Daphnia pulex: one gene and its partners. The protein of the gene in region 2 interacts with the protein of the main gene of each other region in a pairwise test. Links are inferred from orthologs where the notes say so. Each region holds a gene or a part of one and is shown on either strand. Other genes may lie near its edges. The genes, in order: DNA repair and recombination protein RAD54-like, eukaryotic translation elongation factor 2 and ubiquitin-conjugating enzyme E2 variant 2-like.

Region 1 (4,088 bases), on a different chromosome or scaffold from region 2:
GTAGAAATACTTACGGACAACAGGCGATAAATAAAACAGGGTTTCTTTTGTCCGTCTCTCCAAACACGAGCCATAGCTTGATCGTCGTTGGCGGGATTCCAGTCCGGATCAAACATCACCAACCTTGTGCGAAAGTAATTCAACATTTTTTTTTGTGAATAATCTTACATTCTAAATTGAATGCATTAACCAATTAGTACCGGTTGGCTCCAATTAAGTTCAATCCGCAGCCACCGGCTTTGCTGCTGAGCAAAAAGACAAAATCTGAACTGGCTGGGTCGTTGAAATGTTCCACAATCTGAAATGCAAAATAGGTACTTAACAGTCCTTCCTGACCCGACTTCATTAAGAACTAAGACTGGTTTGATTTGTCTGTGTACCTTGGCTCTCTTCTTGATGCTCATGCTGCCGTCCAGGCGTACGCACGGGTAAGACCTCATTCGGCAAAGTTTCTCGAATAAATCTAGAGTTTGAGTGTAGTTGGAAATCAAGACGATCTTGTCGTTGGTAGTGCTTTTCACCATAGCCAGAATACAGTCGAGGACGCAGAGCTTGCCGGACAATTCGGTTTGCAGTTTTCTATCGATCAAATCAGCAGCGAGGTTATAGATTTTTCTACTGTCGCAAACGAATGGTGTGGGACTAACCGGGGATCGAAGGTGGCAGGAAATAACGGCAGAGTGCCTTCGAATCCGTCAACGCCCGATTGGCACTTTTCGTAAACCAATTCCGGGTGACTGCATAGTTTCTTTAAATTGGTGATGGCTGCCAGTGCAGTCATGCTCGATTTGCTCGGTTTCTCATTGGCTTCTATTTAAGTTTAAGCAGGACAGCAACAAAATATTTAATCAATCATGTACTTTAATTTATATAATATTTACCCCTCATTTTGCTCTTGACAGCTTCGGATGCTACGACCTTCTTGTAAATGGACGCCTGAACAGGACTGAGCTTAATACAAACAACCAATTCAATTTTGACTGGAAGATATTTGGTCAGCAAAGCGGATGTGCGCCGAATGATGCATTTATTGACTAGATCGGCCAATTCTTTCAATTGTGTCTGACCCTTCTTCTGAGTTTCTTCCGTCGCATCAGCGTCTCTACCTCGAAGGATGGGCGTCTCGAACCGTTTCTTAAACTCCTGCAAAAAGAAAATGTGTTTGTTGTCATTATTATTAGTTAAGGATCTCATTTTTATCTTGAATCACCTGAGCAGTGCCAAGAATGCCTTGGTTAACGAAATGTAACAAACTAAAGTACTCCAGCAAATCGTTCTGAATGGGCGTTCCGGAAAGAAGGACACGTCGTTTGCAATTCAATGCAACCAAAGCTTGATATGTCTGATTTTCACTGTTTTTCAGACGATGTCCCTAACGAGACGAACAAACGGTTGTTAGTTGAATAAGAGACTCGCGCCAGATAATGATCTTAATTATGAGTAAGTGTACTTCATCACAAAGAACAAGTCCTATTTCTCCCTTGAGAAGGGCGTGGGCGTGAAGTCTAAATGTCTCGTAGGAGATGATCAGAACAGGAGTGACGACTCGCCTTCCGTGTGTGTGTATGAATCCATTCAAGTTGCGATCAATTTCGTCTTTACTTCCAGAGTCTATCACCAACGTATTGACTCGTCCACTTAGCCACTTGTTGATTTCATTCTGCCAATTCTTTTGGTTGTAAAAAAAAATACAGCAGTTAATAAATTTCAAAGTGAATTATTAAAGTGATCATTGAATCAATGCACCTTGACCAAACTACTAGGTGAGACAATGATCCCTTTTGAAATTAAGGGCTTGCAGTCTGGGCCTTGTTTGAGTAGTGTCCAAAGCAGGGTAATGCACTGCAAAGTTTTCCCCAATCCCATTTCATCAGCCATAATGCAACCATAATTGTTTTCAATGCATAGACCAGTGACACAGTCATACATGAACTTCACTCCCTAGCAATAGAAAATTAATAGAAGACCAGAATTACAGCAGCATAAGTGGAACTTACTTCACGTTGATGAGGTCTAAGTACTTTGGTCAATACTGGATCAACAACAACATGAACAGGATGTTTATCACTAACAAAAAATTTAAAGATGTGAAAATTTAATCCCCCAGTCTTTTCAAACTATTTAATATTGTACCTTATGGATGATTTCAGCTTGTCATGAGCAGACAGTTCTGGAGGGGAATATAAAATCAAAGCACCAGGTTCATCTGGGTCATGTAAAGCTTGTCGTACTCCAGCTCGTCTCATTCCAAGTGATTTGCTAAGGGTTGGCCCATTGTAGTTTGGTATTGGTATTTTGAATGGCTTTGACATAATCTTTTTGATAAGTTCTTCCTGTTAAATAGTTAATAGCTATAATTTTGAGGCAATAGAGTTAAGTAACTATTATAGTTAATGTTTTACATGGAATGACGATCCAGCCATTTCCGAATTGGTTTCAACTGGAAGACTACATTGAGCAAGTGGTTTACGAAATGGAGAAAGAAACTCTGAAGCTCTGTCTATTATTTGTGTCTTCTTATTCTTGCCTCCTTTCTTCTTTTCTGACCAAGCTGGGTCATCATCTTCATCGTATTTTCGTTTAACTTGAACCAACTGACTTGGGGCCAAACTCCGTCTCTATCATTGTAAAATTGAGTAAAAATATAACAAAAATGTTAAAATTCAAGAAGAATTCATCACAAACCATTTTATTAATCCCTTCACTTTGTTCTCTTTCTCGTGTTGAATCGCGCCTTAAAAATACAAACACAAAGGTGAATGCATCGTGCTTATGCAGTTACTCTAATAATGATTACTCGAAAGGGTTTCTTTTGCTTGTGACGTTGTCGAATGTCTCACTAGATGGGCTTTCAAGCGAAAATATTTAAGCTGTCCGCATTGGCGCATTCTGTCAGTAGTCTTTGCAGAGGATGGTCGAAAAAAGTTCAACCCGTTCAACGGCGAGGCGAGGCGAGGCGACTCGTTATTAGTTTCCAGAAAATCGTGTCGTCATTAACTTGTTAGTGTTATTATGTGAGATAACCAAGTACTTAACCACAGTACCAGATATAATAGAAACTATTGTTAATTCAGTTTTGTTTCTTATTAATCAGAGAACAGAAGGATGAACAAAGCTTACAGACCAAAATCTAAAATTGGAAATTAATGATGCACTGCAATTTCAGGTGATTTCCGGTTCCGATTTGTGTAAGAGGATTTCTTTTGATTGTCCACTTCACGAATTGAATTGACTGAAACATCATCCAAGCTCAATTTAGATTTTGGAGGCGATAGCAAATTAAGAATTCACCAGGTGGGAAAATGGTAACACATGTTATTTATTTTCCTAATTAAAATAGAGAATCTTTTGCTGGTTGTTATTCCATTCGAGTAAAACTTTATTTTTTTCCATCTTCCAACAGGTTCATTCAAAGTTAACAGCAAACACACATTTGATTTGTTTTTAAAAAGGAAGTCCATGCTGTCCTATAAAATATTCTACCTCAGTTTCCTCAAGTCCTTAAGGTATCACAACTCCCCTATTCAATTCCCCCTAGATTAACTGTGTTTAAATATTTTCTTAGCTTTTGCATTATGTTTGGTTGTTTATTTGTGCTTGTTTTTATTACATCAAATTGTTTTTCTTTCGAAGGCTCATAACAGCCATAACAGGTAATATTTCGCGCTGTTTGGTGTTTCAAACGTGGGACCATCAATCAACCTAAGAACAAAGCCCCTGGTTTTTCCTCAAGAAGCTGGTAGATATTAAACATTTTACTTAGATCTGTTTTATCCAATAACCGTTTGATTTATTCGACAGGTTTTAACCAATTCGAAAAGGTACTTTGCAATAAATAATAAACCGGATTTCAAGCCATATATACACCGTTTCTGCAGCTTGCACCTGATCTGGCAGGCCGTCGGAACTCTATTAAGTTTATCTGAGAACCATCGGTACTTTGCCTAGACAGCGTCCTGGAGAAACTACTACTCCACTGCACCGCCTTCGAAGAAATTATGTGGTGTGTACATTCCCCTTTCGATAACTAAAGGATTCGAAGAACTCTCTTCATTTTCTAGGATACTTTCTGAGGTAGCGTTCGGTCT
Region 2 (4,305 bases):
CCGCCTTCATGTACAGACGATTGTGCTTGTTGGGAGACTTTGACAGACAGACCTGGTCAGATTCTTCCGAAACTGTCTCACGATAGGAAACGACGGGGTCAGACTTCTTCAGTGGGATGCAAGCATGGTCCTCCTCCAAGTCCTGCACAAAAAAAAAATAATAATGCAACACTAGATGACAATACATTTTATAAAAACAAGATCCTACCTTAAGGCAAATTTCCAAGTGAAGTTCACCAGCTCCAGCGACAATGTGTTCTCCAGACTCTTCGATGATACATTGGACCATAGGATCGGACTTGGCCAAACGTTTAAGACCTTCAACCTAGAATAGAATATTGTTGATATCACAGCATCAACCACATCGATTTCAAAAATAAATACCAATTTAGGAAGATCAGCAGGGTTCTTGGGCTCGACGGCAACACGCACGACGGGTGAAACAGAGAACTTCATGACACGCAAGTTATGGGCATCCTTGAAGGTGGAGATGGTACCAGTCTTGACCAAGAACTGATCAACACCAACCAAACCGCAAATGTTGCCTATTGGGATATATAGTTAGAAAACAAATCCTGAAGTCTAAGGATAACATTCAACTTACCGCAAGGGACATCTTCAATGGCCTCGACGAAACGACCCATCATGAGCACGGTACGCTGGATAGCCTTCTCGTACAAGTCGGCCTTGTTGCCGGGAACGTAGTTAGGGCCCATGATACGAGCCTTCATGCCAGTGCAGACCTTGCCAGCGAAGACACGTCCGAAGGCGTAGAAACGACCCTTGTCGGTGGTTGGTACCATTTTGGAGACGTACATCATGAGAGGGCCGTTGGGGTCGCAGTTCTTCATGGCGACAGCGGATTCATCATCCAAAGGACCTTCGTACAACATCTCAGTACGGTATTTCTGGGCCACAGCAGGTGATGGCAAATGGATGGCAATCATCTGAAGCAAAGTATCTCCAGCAGGGAGCCATTGACGAACGACGGCTAAAATTTGAACAGAAAAATAAAGTTTAGTTTATATCTAACAGACAACCAGCTGAAACCAACTAACCTTTCAACAAGTTCTTGCCATCCTTTTCACGATCTTCCAAGCTCAACTTAATGCCCAACTTGGTCAACAGAGAATCGGTTTCTTCTTTCTTGTAGTTCATGATAGCATCGAAAACCTACGATTATAATAAATATAATTAGAACACTTACATTTACGAGCGAATCTTAGCATGTGCACATGAATCAGTTAGAAATTTGCTTCCTCAACATGATCAGTACAGGTCTGTGTTTATCATCACAAAAATTATTGTCAAACCATAGGACATTTGTATCCTTACCTTGTAAAGGGGATCCAACACATACATATTGAAAGAACGCTTGTTGTCGGCATCTTTAGTTTTTGACCATTTCTTGGTGGTAGGGTTGAAGAAGTTCTCTCCCCACAAGCTATTGAAGTAAAATAAATTGGTTATTATGATGATTCTTCAGAGGAAAGTCATTTTTTTCTTAACTTACCGGTTCATCAGCTTAATGGTGTCAATCTTGAACTTATCTGCATACATCTCAGCAAACTGCTTCAATGTAAAAGCCCAGCCGTGCAGACCAGAGCCGAAACCAACGCTACCCTTGCTTGGGTCAACGCTAATCTCACCCATGGGTCCTTCATCATCAGCATAAGTAGCAACAATGACGTTGACGTTTTCAACAATACGCTGGAAAGTTTGGTAGAGAGCTTCCTGGTCAAGTTGGAGCTCGAGGAGCGCACGGTCCATTTTGTTCATGAAAAGGATAGGCTTGATACGTTCACCAATAGCCTGACGCAATACAGTTTCGGTCTGCACGCAGACGCCAGAAACGCAATCGACGACGACCAGGGCTCCGTCAGTTACACGAAGAGCAGCTGTTACCTCAGATGAAAAGTCAACGTGACCTATTTTTTTTACACAACAAAAACATTAGTACAATTTTAATCAAGTAATAATATGATTCCTACCAGGTGAATCAATCAAGTTGATCAAAAAGCCCTTCTCAGTGGATTCACGTTGTTCAGGGTTGGTGATGAAAGCACAATCCTTCTCAGATAGCTCGAAGTACATGGTCACAGCAGTTGACTTGATGGTAATACAACGCTCCTGTTCATCTTTACGGGTGTCAGTAAAGCGCATTTCACCAGCCTTAGCTCCAGCGATGATGCCAGCCTTGCCAACCAAAGAATCTGTCAATGTAGACTTTCCATGGTCAACATGAGCAATGACAGACATGTTACGGATGTTCCTCTTCTTGTCCATCATGACACGAATTTCATCTACTGTGAAGTTCACCTGTAAAATAATACAAATAACACTTTACTCATAATGACACTTTACATTAATTTGATCCCACAACATAAAAGATTTTCCATGTCCCTCAAGCTAGACCCTAAAAATTTTCAACTGTCAACTTAAAACGGTACGTTAATAAGGGCAATCAACCGGATACCGGAACAGTGTACCTGATACACTACATCTTGTCAAATACTTTAAACCCTTGAATAAAGCATACTAAATACTAATCAAAATGTCGGAATACAACGACATGACAAAGATATCTCAAATCTGTTGTAACAACCCGTTATCTTCCCCATCTTTTCTTTCCAACGTGTCAAGACCCAAGTCATGAGGACACGAATATTAAAATTAATAATAACGAAACGATAAGACCCTGTCGAGAATCTATTTCCCATTCAATAAAATCGCCTTCTCTTCAAAATTAGAATGATGATATTAAAAGTTAGAATTCTTTACCATTTTCGATGATATTGGATAAACTGCTGCCGAAGTTCACAAAAAGACGGGTACAGAGAGAGCCCGTCTAGAAAAAGAGAACGATGAGATGGTAGAGACCTCTAAAGTAAGCTAAAAAATCACCTCCCTTTATTAACAAAACCACGTACTGTCTGCGTTGTCGAGCAACAAATATTACACTTTTTGTTTCTTTTCGAGTTAAAAGTGTAACTGAAAATTTTCCTATTTTCTGAAATAAATTGTTATGATTTAAAAAGTTATTTTAATAGAATGTGAATATTTTCATTTATTTCTATGTGAACCCTAGTCAACAGTGCGTTGCTAGTTCACTTTTTTGCCGTCACTTTTTGCAGTTCGTCCATTGCAGTTAAAACCATGGCTGACGTGAGTATTTCTTCTGAAATTTAGATTAAATCCAGAATAATGTTTGACATCCTTCGTTATTTGTACATGAAGAAGTTAGAAATTGTTGAACAATTCAATTTTACGTCTTGTAGTGGGGAAATTTGTGGAATGGATATTAATTTACATGGTTCGGGGATCGGCTTTTTTGACTTTTTTCCTCTTAGCACCAATTCACTCATGTTTGATTTTCTGTTTGATGGTAGACCGAAGACCAGACCAAGAAGAAGCGTACCTTCCGCAAATTCACCTTCCGCGGGGTGGATTTGGACCAGCTGCTGGACATGTCCATGTAAGTTTTGCATTTCTTAATTTTATGGTAACTTCAGAATAAGACTAATCACTTGTCGGATTTGCAACATAGGGACCAGCTCCTTGAGATGCTGAGTTCCAGAGTCCGTCGTCGCTTCCGCCGCGGACTTAAGAGGAAGCACATGGCTTTGTTGAAGAAATTGCGAGGAGCCAAGAAAGAAGCTCTTGAGAATGAGAAGCCTGCAGTTGTCAAAACTCACCTTCGCAACATGATCATTGTCCCAGAGATGGTTGGATCCATTGTTGGTGTTTACAACGGAAAAGTCTTCAACAGCGTCGAAGTCAAGGTAGCCGATTTTCTTTAGAGCTTCTGATGTGCAATTCAACTAACGTACTTTGATTGTTTTTATTAGCCTGAAATGATTGGACATCATTTGGGTGAGTTCAGCATCTGTTACAAGCCTGTCAAGCACGGTCGCCCAGGTATTGGTGCCACTCACAGCTCTCGCTTCATCCCATTGAAGTAAATTGCAGTTGGTTTGTCACTTCAAGGTCAATAAACATCCTTCTTGGCCTGAAAACTGTTTATTTATTTTATTTACTGGAGTACATCCCTAACGCTGGGTGAGCTAAAAAACGGGTCTTAGTGTTTGTCATCTGTGCTGAATTGTTTTTAGGTTTCTTGGTTGGCTGATTCCCTTTGATTTTGGAATTTGGTTCATGTTGAGGAGAGGTGAAGTTCTTTAAGAAATAGGTGTTAGTAAATTCATTCACAGGATAAAAGAGTAGCTACTAGAAATACCTTCATCCATTCCCCTTTCAAAAGTGCAATGATATTTGCATTCGGTCCAAAGCCATATTCATCAGTAG
Region 3 (3,234 bases), on a different chromosome or scaffold from region 2:
TCAGCCACGTGCGTACTAGCCATATAACTTATCATTCAAGGCCAGTTATCCTCTAAACCGGTTTCTGATTTTTACTATGTATTTGTTTAGATCCTTCTGATGTAGACAACGGCAAATCTATGAACGAAGTAGTATCCTATCCAAATAATCTGACTGTCCATGACTTGTATTTTTTTATGGCAATCCCCACGCTGTGCTACGAACTCAATTTTCCACGTACTTCCCGTATCCGCAAGCGGTTTTTGATCAAACGAGTCATCGAAGTATTAGTGGGAATGCAAGTTGTTCTGGGTCTTTTCCAGCAATGGATAATTCCCAGCGTTAAAAACTCGCTCGAAACATTCTCGGTTTGTCCTTTTTTCTTTATTCATTGATTCATCGATCATAAATCATACTCTTGTAATTTATTTATGCAGAAAATGGAACCTGTACCTGCCACCGAAAGATTATTGAAATTAGCGGTGCGCTACAAATAAGATATTCATATTTTTCTAATGAAACGATTGTTGTTAAACTGTTTTCTATTTTTACACAGATTCCCAATCACTTACTATGGCTCATCTGGTTCTATCTTTGCTTCCATTCCTATTTTAACATGTTGGGCGAGGTTCTTAAATTCGCCGATCGCGATTTTTATGGTGACTGGTGGAACGCGACTAATATCGATGTTTTTTGGCGCTCTTGGAACATGCCAATTCACCGGTGGGCCGTTAGGTATGTTTTATCTTAATTATCGGTTAATCCGTGTAATATAAAAATACAATTTTGATATTTAGGCACTTGTACATGCCACTGATCGAAAGAGGCTATGGTAAAACTGTCGGTTCCGTGTCCGTCTTCCTGCTCAGCGCGTTTTTTCACGAGTACTTGGTCAGTGTCCCATTACGAATGTTTAATTTGTGGGCGTTCTCTGGCATGATGCTGCAGGTATTACAATTATCACCTTAATCGATTTTTAAATAACTTAAATCTTTTACCCAGATACCATTGTCTGCCGTGTCTCACTTTGTCGAGAAAAAAGCTGGGCCGCGATTAGGTAATGTTTTGGTGTGGATGTCGCTCATACTCGGTCAACCTCTTTGCATCATGATGTACTACCATGACTATGTAATTACTCATTTTGGTAAAGACTTGATGGAACAGTTCAGCAAAATGCGATAGAATTCACATTGTCTAAAGTGCCACGGTGGGGTTTTTTCAACCAATTACTTTCCTGTTAACTATGCTGGTCTAAAAACGTTCCTCATGAAAATAATGGTGAAATTAGTCTCGAGTCTATTTAGTTCTGAAATATTGTCATTCCGCACACACGAGTTCTTTTTTATACTCCTTTTTTGTTACATGAAATAGTACTCAACTACTTTGTGATCTGCCTGGGATTCCTATTCTAGTTACTTATACCCCTTGTTGTCCAATGAATAATAAACCATGGATTATTAGCAAAATTTTGTCTTAATTTGTTTTTTTGTTTTTTTTTTTTTTTATTTTAAATACAGTTGATAACAATGTTGCATTGTCGTTTGCTGATTGGCTCATTGCGTTGCGACGCTTGAGGTGTGTAATCTATCTGGCAACCCGGCGCGTAAGAAGTTTGTCTTCATACAAGATGGCAACCACAGGAGTAGGATCAGCGGGTAATTCTTACGTCTCTAAATTTGGTTTTTAATTATTTAATTCGTATGGTTGACACAAATTTAATGAAATTCAATCAAACTTTACGTGTCTGACTTCATTTGGATCACTTGGCATATTATTGCCAATATCCAGGGTTCGGTTAAAATCGTATCGGTTTTCTGACTGATTAGTTGTTTTCCTTTTCTCCATTTTTTGCTGTCAGATTGTGTCAAAAAATAGAAAAAAAAATTTAATTGGTCTAACTCTTTAAAGAGATTATTTTTCTAAAGCTTATTTCATTTTCATATTATTGGCTAGCCATATTATCAAATGTATAAATGGTGGATATTGTAACCTTAGATGTGGTAGTGCCACGAAACTTTCGATTATTGGAAGAACTTGAACAAGGACAGAAAGGAGTTGGTGATGGAACCATCAGTTGGGGTTTGGAGGATGACAGTGATATGACCCTGTCACACTGGACAGGCATGATCATTGGCCCCCCTCGAGTAAGCTTGTATTTAAACACGCCTTATAACTTGATAATTATTTTGTGCCTTTTTTGTAGACTGCATTTGAGAACAGAATGTATAGTTTGAAGATTGAGTGTGGTATGAAATATCCAGAGGAGTGCCCACTGATCAGATTTACAACTCGTATCAATATGAATGGTGTGCACAACACAACAGGAATGGTAAATAATAATCTGACATTGTTTTTATATATTTATGGATTTCATTTATTTAACCAAACTATTGTTGGTAGGTTGACAAACGAATGGTGAGCATCTTGGTCAAATGGCAGCGCAACTATACGATCAAAACGCTATTGCAAGAGTTAAGAAGGATGATGACCCTTAAAGAAAACATGAAGCTGCCCCAACCACCAGAGGGAACCAATTTTTAAGTTGTTATTACGGAAAAAAATGATGTCGTCGTCGTCATGGTGGAAAATAATAAAAGGAAACTTTCATTCTTTCTTTGCGGAACGTTCATCCTATTGGCCTAATCCCCTTCTCAAAAATGATGTAAAATCTTATAGCTTCATTGGAATATAGGCCAATACACATGCAAGTCAAATATTTGATTTGGTTATGATTTATATCACAACCAAATAAACAGAAGGACAGACATTTTCAGTGTTCTTTTTCATCCGTTATCACGTTTTATTACATCACCTTAATATATAAATTTGTAATTCCTATTAGCTATTAGGAGTGGTATTGGGCTATTCGGCAGTATCAAGAACGAATTTACTGGCGCCACACTGACCATGCCATCTATCCAGGGAATGTCCAAGTAAGAATGTAAGCATGGCATCGACTCCTCCCCTTTTACACTTTCTTGTTTTCATTCGTATTTTCTTCGTGTCGTGTAAACCTCGCGTGATTAGTTTTTCATTATAGAAGCAGCACATTTCTCCCGGAAGGTTGTGCTGAATTTTGGATTATCATAACGTTATAGGGATTCTTTAGGAAATTATAATCATCGTTTTTAAGTGACAGTTGTTTTTTTGAAAACATTCGTGTTGTTTTTCCTCTTTTTTCCCCTCAGGACTCGTGTCTAAATAGTAACATGTTAATACTTAATAGTACTTACCTTTGATGAAATTGACCATATT

What was found.
Region 1: the proteins of eukaryotic translation elongation factor 2 (region 2) and DNA repair and recombination protein RAD54-like interact in a two-hybrid assay, tested with the Caenorhabditis elegans proteins (2 studies listed by BioGRID). The link is inferred for Daphnia pulex from reciprocal best matches to the Caenorhabditis elegans genes eef-2 and rad-54.L.
Region 3: the proteins of eukaryotic translation elongation factor 2 (region 2) and ubiquitin-conjugating enzyme E2 variant 2-like interact in a two-hybrid assay, tested with the Caenorhabditis elegans proteins (2 studies listed by BioGRID). The link is inferred for Daphnia pulex from reciprocal best matches to the Caenorhabditis elegans genes eef-2 and uev-1.

Annotation. Positions count from the first base shown.
Region 1 is NC_060022.1:2,886,466-2,890,553, reverse strand, and holds the start of DNA repair and recombination protein RAD54-like, read right to left. Parts: upstream 2,814-4,088; 5' UTR 2,689-2,813; coding exon 2,686-2,688; intron 2,619-2,685; coding exon 2,403-2,618; intron 2,334-2,402; coding exon 2,134-2,333; intron 2,068-2,133; coding exon 1,998-2,067; intron 1,942-1,997; coding exon 1,747-1,941; intron 1,670-1,746; coding exon 1,451-1,669; intron 1,373-1,450; coding exon 1,211-1,372; intron 1,144-1,210; coding exon 882-1,143; intron 811-881; coding exon 648-810; intron 580-647; coding exon 381-579; intron 299-380; coding exon 201-298; intron 124-200; coding exon 15-123; intron 1-14.
Region 2 is NC_060028.1:7,522,389-7,526,693, forward strand, and holds the start of eukaryotic translation elongation factor 2, read right to left. Parts: upstream 2,934-4,305; 5' UTR 2,785-2,933; coding exon 2,782-2,784; intron 2,320-2,781; coding exon 1,992-2,319; intron 1,929-1,991; coding exon 1,514-1,928; intron 1,445-1,513; coding exon 1,336-1,444; intron 1,174-1,335; coding exon 1,059-1,173; intron 992-1,058; coding exon 605-991; intron 546-604; coding exon 385-545; intron 326-384; coding exon 209-325; intron 143-208; coding exon 1-142. Other genes in the region: 40S ribosomal protein S15-like, read left to right, coding at 3,157-3,165, 3,390-3,475, 3,548-3,782, 3,849-3,962; uncharacterized protein LOC124209707, read right to left, coding at 4,030-4,176, 4,238-4,305. UniProt on the Caenorhabditis elegans protein: Catalyzes the GTP-dependent ribosomal translocation step during translation elongation.
Region 3 is NC_060018.1:3,969,903-3,973,136, forward strand, and holds ubiquitin-conjugating enzyme E2 variant 2-like, read left to right. Parts: upstream 1-1,499; 5' UTR 1,500-1,606; coding exon 1,607-1,634; intron 1,635-1,974; coding exon 1,975-2,123; intron 2,124-2,182; coding exon 2,183-2,308; intron 2,309-2,379; coding exon 2,380-2,520; 3' UTR 2,521-2,695; downstream 2,696-3,234. Other genes in the region: diacylglycerol O-acyltransferase 1-like, read left to right, coding at 1-8, 91-347, 417-461, 536-714, 777-927, 982-1,161. UniProt on the Caenorhabditis elegans protein: Involved in protein ubiquitination, but has no ubiquitin ligase activity on its own. The uev-1-ubc-13 heterodimer catalyzes the synthesis of non-canonical poly-ubiquitin chains that are linked through Lys-63.